Linked DNA regions of Drosophila melanogaster. Changing the gene in region 1 together with any one later gene gives a genetic interaction. Each region holds a gene or a part of one and is shown on either strand. Other genes may lie near its edges. The genes, in order: WRNexo and spn-A.

What was found.
Region 2: of WRNexo (region 1) and spn-A, changing one enhances a phenotype caused by changing the other (phenotypic enhancement), as found in Drosophila melanogaster (one study listed by BioGRID).

Annotation. Positions count from the first base shown.
Region 1 is NT_033777.3:18,363,522-18,367,840, reverse strand, and holds WRNexo (WRN exonuclease), read left to right. Parts: upstream 1-1,678; 5' UTR 1,679-1,745; coding exon 1,746-1,805; intron 1,806-1,861; coding exon 1,862-1,930; intron 1,931-2,064; coding exon 2,065-2,169; intron 2,170-2,227; coding exon 2,228-2,433; intron 2,434-2,495; coding exon 2,496-2,720; intron 2,721-2,775; coding exon 2,776-3,019; intron 3,020-3,075; coding exon 3,076-3,231; 3' UTR 3,232-3,597; downstream 3,598-4,319. Other genes in the region: Nup43 (nucleoporin 43kD), read right to left, coding at 1-773, 839-1,121; hmw (hemingway), read right to left, coding at 3,658-3,795, 3,858-4,017, 4,072-4,319. UniProt on the Drosophila melanogaster protein: Has exonuclease activity on both single-stranded and duplex templates bearing overhangs, but not blunt ended duplex DNA, and cleaves in a 3'-5' direction. Essential for the formation of DNA replication focal centers.
Region 2 is NT_033777.3:30,054,023-30,057,763, forward strand, and holds spn-A (spindle A), read right to left. Parts: upstream 2,016-3,741; 5' UTR 1,918-2,015; coding exon 1,840-1,917; exon of another isoform or gene 1,777-1,839; coding exon 844-1,776; 3' UTR 674-843; downstream 1-673. Other genes in the region: Jasper (JIL-1 anchoring and stabilizing protein), read left to right, coding at 1-283; Rpp14b (ribonuclease P/MRP subunit p14 b), read left to right, coding at 2,114-2,145, 2,227-2,533; Rpp14a (ribonuclease P/MRP subunit p14 a), read left to right, coding at 2,981-3,012, 3,118-3,421; CG7950 (uncharacterized protein), read left to right, coding at 3,437-3,741. UniProt on the Drosophila melanogaster protein: Plays an important role in homologous strand exchange, a key step in DNA repair through homologous recombination (HR). Binds to single and double-stranded DNA and exhibits DNA-dependent ATPase activity. Underwinds duplex DNA.

The DNA.
Region 1 (4,319 bases):
GTAAACGGCTTCTGTGTCGCCTCCGCAGACCAGACGACTTCCATGCACATCGAAGGAGTTGATGGACTTGCGAACATTACTCAGCACTCCCTCCACATCGACCAGGGAGCGAACACGATCGCCAGACAACCAGGGGCTGTGTCCGTCTTTGTTATAGTCGCACCCGAGAACTTTGTTCTCTGACCACATCCACACCTCGCCACCTTCTGCGGCGGTGAACAGTTTGCTGGGATCCTTTTGATGGAAGCCTATCTCGTTGATGGGACTTTTGTGAGCGCTGAGATAGGAGGCGGGATAACTGAGGTTTCGCATATCCCAGACGGTTATGGAACCCTCTTCGCTGCCGCAAAGTAAAATATGTTGCTGCATCGGATGCTTGGCAAGGGACGAGACAAAGTTCGACTTGTCATCCTGGGAGGCCACCATAAAGGTGGTCTTCGGCTGCGCTTCAGTGGCCACTCGGGCGTCCAGCATTCGGATAACACCCATCCTATTGGCAGTCACCAGTTCCTGCTGGCTGATATAGCAAATGGAAAACAGCGCCATGCTGTCCGCCTCAATCTGTCGCTTCACCTGGCGCACATTTTCCACGGAGACGATGCTTACACACCCATCCTCGCCGGCGGTGGCGATATCCGTGCCGTAAACAGAAAGGTCGGTGCAAGGAGCGGGCTCCTGGCTACGTTGGAAGCAGTGCAGACGTCCCGATCGGGACGTACGTTGCATCTGATCCTCCTCCACGGCTCGATGGACGTTAAACACGCTGAGATGACCTTGTTTGGTATTAAAATAGACATTTATTTAGCTGAGTTCATGATTGCTGGAACTTGTAACTGACCATCGGCACAGCTCACAGCCAGCGTGTCCTTGTCGACGAACTCCATGGCGGTCACATCGTCCTCCATTCTCACCTTGTCCATGCAGCGAGGTATCTGGTCCACTTCCGAATCCGTGGCGGTGACATATTGGTTCGATTGTAGCCGCCAGAGGCGCACGAAGTTCTGGTCCATGTCCCAGCTTCCAGTAACGAACCGTTCGCTCTGCTGCAGTTCCTCCGGAAGCCAGCGCACTTGGGACACCTTCTCGGATATGTAGTGCGTGGAAACGTTTGCAATGGACATCTTTTCGTTGGATTTAGCAGAGGATTCGCGATGTAAACAAAATAATGCGGCTTTCGAGTTAAGTGTGACCAGAGCAAGAAGATCGCAACATATCTTAGCGGGAAACTTAATCTGGTATCTATAAATTGGGCAGGGCTGGAAACAAAAGCAGAAAAATTGTTATGTGGATCTATATTATGGTACTTAATGAGCTTATCTCAAAAACGATTGGTAATTCTATTATGAAATTTTCCTGAAATATCCTTTAAGGTGGTCAAGCTTGCACAGGCTCTGCGAGTGGAGATGTCCCCCAAAATGTGGGGCGCCAATTTTTCAATAGCATATTATATATACTTTCTTGAGTCCTATAAACTTATTTCGCACATAGATAGTTATATCTTTCTTTTCTTAAAAAAATTGCATTTTTAGTTTATCGAATTCACCTTGAAATAACAATAATATAAATAAATAAAAAACATTTCCTTGTTCCAAATTCTACCGTTCCTTCATAACTCATCAAGGCACTTATCGATTGTCACAGTATTTTTTCGTACTGTGGTGTTTATGTGCGCCTACCCCTCCATATTTTTGGCGGGAAATAATAGTAAACAAAGCATTTAAGAAAACGAACAAGCAACGCGGGTTATGGAAAAATATTTAACAAAAATGCCCATCAAATCAAAAGCAAATGAAGTTCCCAAGGAAGTAGGCTAATACACAATTTCGTGCAGGGATAAAAACTAACTTAAAAGTATTTGTAGGAGGCGGGCGTCAAAAAGGAGACTCCCAAAGTGGCAAGGAAAGCAACAAAAAAGGATACTCCAAAAGAGGTTTGCATTTGTTTATTATTTAGAATTTATTATTTAAAATACTGCTACTGCTTTTTTCAAAACTAAGAATCGGTTTCTGTAAATCGGAAGCAATAATGACTATGTATACTATTTCAACCGAATAAATCTTGCAGTTGAAAGATAAAGAAAATGCTGGAGATGATAATACGCCAAAGCAAACGAAAGGAAGACCCGGTAGACCGGCTGCCAAGCGAAAAAATCTGGATACTCCAGATGTGGTAAGCAACAATTTATATATTAAGTTTATATTGGGACGAAGCATTAACAACTTTATAGAAGACTGAGAAGTTAGCGATGGAGGAAGAAAATCCGCCCAAGCGCCGGAGTTCCAGGCTGACCAGAAGCACTCGTTCAATGGCAGAGGATGGGTCTCCATCACCGGAGAAGGAAAAGCCCGAAAAGCTTCCCTTTATTAAATACAAGGGTGCTATAAAGTATTTCACGGAGAGCCAGGATATTGCGGCATCTGCTGACGATGTTTTGTAAGTTAACTCTATAACTTATTCCTGCTTGTTAATAATGTGCATTAAAAATCAAAACTTAGGCAATGGGTGGAAAAACAAAAAGATGAGGTAGTGCCCATGGCCTTCGACATGGAGTGGCCCTTCTCTTTCCAAACAGGACCTGGCAAGTCTGCCGTCATCCAGATATGCGTGGATGAAAAGTGCTGCTACATATACCAGCTGACTAATGTGAAGAAACTGCCTGCGGCCCTGGTGGCCCTTATCAATCATCCCAAAGTGCGATTGCATGGCGTGAACATAAAGAAGTTAGTTATACAAAGGAAAAATCCATTTGGATAAATAAAATCTGTTATTTTCCAGCGATTTCCGAAAGCTGGCACGTGATTTCCCCGAGGTTACAGCCGAACCACTGATAGAGAAATGCGTGGACTTGGGTCTTTGGTGCAATGAGGTCTGTGAGACCGGCGGGCGCTGGAGCTTGGAGCGATTAACCAACTTTATAGCCAAGAAGGCCATGGACAAAAGCAAGAAGGTGCGCATGAGCAAGTGGCATGTCATTCCGCTGGACGAGAATCAACTAATGTACGCCGCCATCGATGTCTATGTAAGTTGATATTCACTTTTCCATACAATTTCGTTCAATCTTAGTTTTCTTTTCAGATTGGTCAGGTTATCTATCGTGAATTGGAACGCCGCGAGAAGGTCAAGATTAAAAATGAAGAAGAGTTCAAGGAAAAGAACGGAGATGCTGCCTTTAAAGCAATGAAAGCATTGGGAGAGACATTTCTGACCAAGATCAACGAGGTGACTCTGTAAGCTTTTCTTTGAAGTTTCAGATATGCCATCTAATTCCTTTTACCTGTTTAAATATTTTCGCCTTCTTTCATTTATTTTCGGGAGTTTTTCTTAGTTTAATTTGTTACCAACGTGCTGCAAAATAATTGTTAAATTTAATATTGCTATCCAATTCGATTATTGATTACGATAACATTTATAGAATTGTTTATACCTAAATGTACAAATTATAAACACATTTTGATGCATTGACTTTGATCGGAACGAAATTTTACTAGTACTATACATTTTTGCATGAATTCTAGTTGGTTTATAAATTCCCTTAAAATTATATTAAGATTATACAGCTTTTTACACTTTTCAACTTGCAATAAATTTTAATTTTGTAAATTCGCATAAACACTTTTAATTACTTAATGAACACAGTTGGAGCTGCCTGTGGAGGCGTCACTTGAATTGCGGTCGCCGTGTGCCGATGGCCTCCAGTTTCCGCTTGAGCAGATCGTTGTCCAGGTCGATCTGGCGCTGATTCTTCTTCCGGTTCACAGCTGCGCTGGACAGTCGTGGCGCTGGAGGTGTCTGTCGCTGTATGACATTGTTAAGGAAGAGGTTTAATATTGGACATAAGTTCTATATTATGTACTCACCTTCTCGGGCCCATTGATCTTTATGCTACTGGTGCTAGCCTTGATCGTCGCCGTGGGCTTCACAGTCATCATCTTGCGCAAAAGAATCTGATTCTGGCGCTCGATCTCGCGCACTTGGGGATTCGTAAAGCTAAAGCTTTTGCGCCCAAGGTTTTTATAGCTATGCAGATGTAATTATATGTAATAGAGTGTATAAGTATTATAAGTTACTTACTTAATCTTATCATTAGAGCAGCGGGAACGCGACACATTGATTTGATACTCGCAACCGTCGCTGTTGAAGGTGCTTGGAGTTCCGCTAACGGCTCGCCTGTTTAACTCCATTGGTTTGCGCTGTTGTGGATGCCTCATGAGTCCGTCGCCCTGGCCACATTCGTCTACGAGGTAGCCTTCGCCCAAGCCGAAGTTCGCTGCCAGGTCATGGGGCAACTCGTGACCCATATCCAGTTTCTGCTCGTGTTC
Region 2 (3,741 bases), about 12 Mb from region 1:
GCTCTGGAAAATGGACCTGTCCGACGAGGTGGAGTTCAAGGAGAGGGCGCAGACCATACGCAAGGTCTCCTCTGGCATATACGATGGCTTCAAGAGTCTCTTCAATCCGGAGCCCGAGAGCGAGGACAACTTTTGGATCGACTTCTGCGAAAAGGTAAAAATCTACAAGACCTATACGAAAAATATCAACGAAAACCTTCGCGTCGGGATGAACGAGCGCGGATATAATAGCCTGGTTTTGGCCAAGGAGGCCGCCGCTTCAGCCGGATCGGCTCCACAGTAAATGATCGAGGACCAGTTCTGCTGGACCAATTACATGATAAGGTAGGATGGGAAACCGCAAACCGCTGAGTTGAAACACATCTTCAAGAATCCTCTTTCTTGCAGTTACTCGTAAGCGTTACAAACCAGGCAACTTAAAGACCGTGCTTTGGATGACAAAGTTTTGATGAGCCAAGTGGGCTATGCTTAATTCTAGGTTAAAAATTCAGCTAAATTCCTTAATTCTGTTTGCCTGCCAGGTGCATGTCGTGTTACGCTGCGCTGATGGGGCTTTTCCTGCTGCATCCGCTTATTACCAGACTAAAAAAAAGGTTTTTGCTTCGAAACCCCTAAATATTTTCTAAGTTTGTAGATGATTTGAATAATATTGAATTAAATATAGATGGTACATACAATTCGCAACGGCTGTTTTATTTCGTCGTTATCCTAAACATTCTAAGTAAACATTAAAACAAAAAAAAAAACAATCTACGAAGTTTAATTCTTAGTCTAGGGATAAGTAATCATTAGAAAGTTAGGGAGCTCTATTCCTAGCATTAATTAACCTATAAGTGAGCACAATTAGCTCTCCCTGGCGTCTCCTATTCCATCCGGCAGAATGGCGAACATGGCCTCCGATTCCGGCAAACAGGGCGAGTCGTAGATCTTGCAGATGCGGGTTTCGCCTTTACCCTTGCGCAGATACAGCCGCGTGGTTGAGGAGTGGGCCATGATGTGCCCGCCAATGGGCTTCTTGGCATCAAACATGCCGGGTGCGCCGTCCAGCGAGGCAGTAACCTGGTTAGTAATTACCACAGCCACTCCGAACTCATCGGCCAGGCGTTGAAGCATGCGCAGAAATAAGCCCAAATGGTTTTGCCTGGCGGCCAGCTCCCCGCGACCAATATAATCGGATCTGTAGAGCGCCATGGCACTGTCCACAATCAGCAAAGCGTATCTGGACTCAAAGAGCATGCCCGCCGCCATCTGGATGAGCTTGGTCTGCTGATCTGAGTTGTGGGCACGGGTGAAGGCCACATTGTCCAGCACCTCGGATTCATTCAGTTTGTACCTTTGCGCGATGGCAGCCAAACGCTCCGGACGGAAGGTGTTCTCCGTGTCGATGTACATGCACTTGCCCTCGCCGCCCTTCTGGCTGATGGGCAGCTGGCAGGTTACTGCCAGAGTGTGGCACAATTGGGTCTTTCCGCAGCGGAACTCGCCAAAGATCTCGGTAATGGATCCCGTCTCAATGCCGCCGCCCAGCAGTTTATCCAGCTCCTTGGAGCCCGTGCTCAGCTGCACGACATCGGCACGCATTTGATAGAAGGTGCGAGCACTAAGGAAGCCCAGAGGCACCAGTTTGTTAGCCTCCGTGATGATCTGCTCCACCTTGCCGCCGCCCAAGCCGGGAATGGCCATCAGTTGCTTCTTGGTGGCATTGGCCACCGACTCCACGGTGTGCAGACTGGCCTGCTGGAGCAGCTTGATGTCCTTGGCCGTGATGCTGCCGCCCTAGGAGGAGGATATCGTAGGGAATGCCCATAATAATCCTGGTCGAGATCGCAGCCTACTCACTATTAACTTAGTCACGCTGAGTGGACCTTCTTCCTCCTCCTCTTCCTGCTGTGCCTGAACATTCGTTAGCTTCTCCATTTGACAGTTTCGAAGTTAAATTTGACTATTTGTTGTTTCGAGTTTCGTTATTTAAATTGCACGTCTTGCGTGAGAGAATTTCGACAAAGACTGCGCGGCGCGCAATTCACTGCAAAATCAGTTTGCCAATCGCCCCGAACGCACAAAACTCTATCACTACAGAGGATCCCGCTTAAAAGGAACGCGCAAGATCACCATGGCGAACTATTACTATTTCGACATCAAACTGTGAGTAGAATGATGTTCTGCGGTCATTAATATAAACTTGGTTGTTATTAAATTCAGTAAATATATTCATTTATTTAATAGTAAACTTCGGGATCCGACTGCAGTTGCTTTGACCCCATCTCTGTTTCGAAGCTGCGTTCTTGACGCCCTGGACAGTTTCTTCTGCGAGGAGAAACCCACACTGGAGATCGTGAAGTTCTGCGCCCAGCAACATCGTGTTATCTTTCGAGTGCCAGAGCAACTGCACGACATGACCCGCATATCCATTGAGCTCATCGGTCACTACCAGCAGATACCCTGTCATTTTGAGATCTTGGAAACATCCAAATCATCGCTGGACTTTGAGAAGAGCATTGAAAAGACTGTCGCGGTTGTGTCCGATGATTAGGACTAGCGAATTGTAATACTCAGTGTAATATACATTATAACCGTCATGAAGAATTTGAATTTGAATCCTAACTGATTTTACTGTGATCTGATTTTTTTGTCATTCACAACGAACTGAAATGATTTCTGTGATGGCTACTAAATGAGATTAAAAAGCGGAAAAACCCCATAAACTTGTAACCATTTTAATAAAATTGCATTTAAGTAGTTCCAATAACAATTTAAATGTTTTAATAAATGGCTATAATTTTAGCTATTTTATAACTACTCATGTCCGTTGTGAGCCGAGCTGGCATCTCTGGCGGCGCACAGCTGTTTGAGAAGCAGAAAGAAACAGCAAAAAAGGGGAGTAATTACATAAAAAAAACACACTGACCGGCAACTTTTGGACGACTTTTCCCGAAGATTCCGCCAAAAAAAGAGGGGCACTGGCACTTGCACCCAAAGCATGAGTGGTTACCAATATCTGGACGTGAAGATGTGAGTTCCGGGCACTCAGCCCCGCTCCTTAAAGCCCCGTATTTCCCACGTGCGCACGTGCATCATGCAAATATAATTAAGATAATTCACGTTTTTAATCGCCAGAAAACTCCGTGATCCAGACTCCGTGACTCTGACGCCCGTATTCTTCTGTGGCTGCATCCATAGCTCCTTGGCTAGTATTTTTGGCGAAATAGGTGGCCAGACCATACTGGAAATTGTGAAATTTAGTTCCAGCCAAAAACGCTCCATTCTCCGGGTGCCCGAGAACGTCCTGGATCGCGTTCGCGTAGCTATAGCCCTAATAGGATACTACCAGGAGGTGCCCTGCCATTTTCAGGTGCTCAGCACATCCCGAAAGCCCTTGGATTTTGAGGAATCCCCCGAGGAGTTTGTAGCATTTAACTAGCATTACCGCATCAGGATGTCATTCTCTTACTGCAAGGAGTACGGCAAGGACAAGGTGATTTTTGTGACCAAGGAGGACCATGCCACGCCCAGCACCATCGAGCTGCCGCCGCCGGAAAAGCCGGAGGGCGTGATCACCAAGGACGGCAAGATCAACTGGAGTTGTCCCTGCCTCGGCGGCATGGCCACCGGTCCCTGTGGCGTCGATTTCCGTGAGGCATTTTCCTGCTTCCAGAACAGCACCGCCGATCCCAAGGGATCGGACTGCTACGATGCCTTCACCAAGATGCGCGACTGTTTCCAGAAGTACCCCACCGTGTA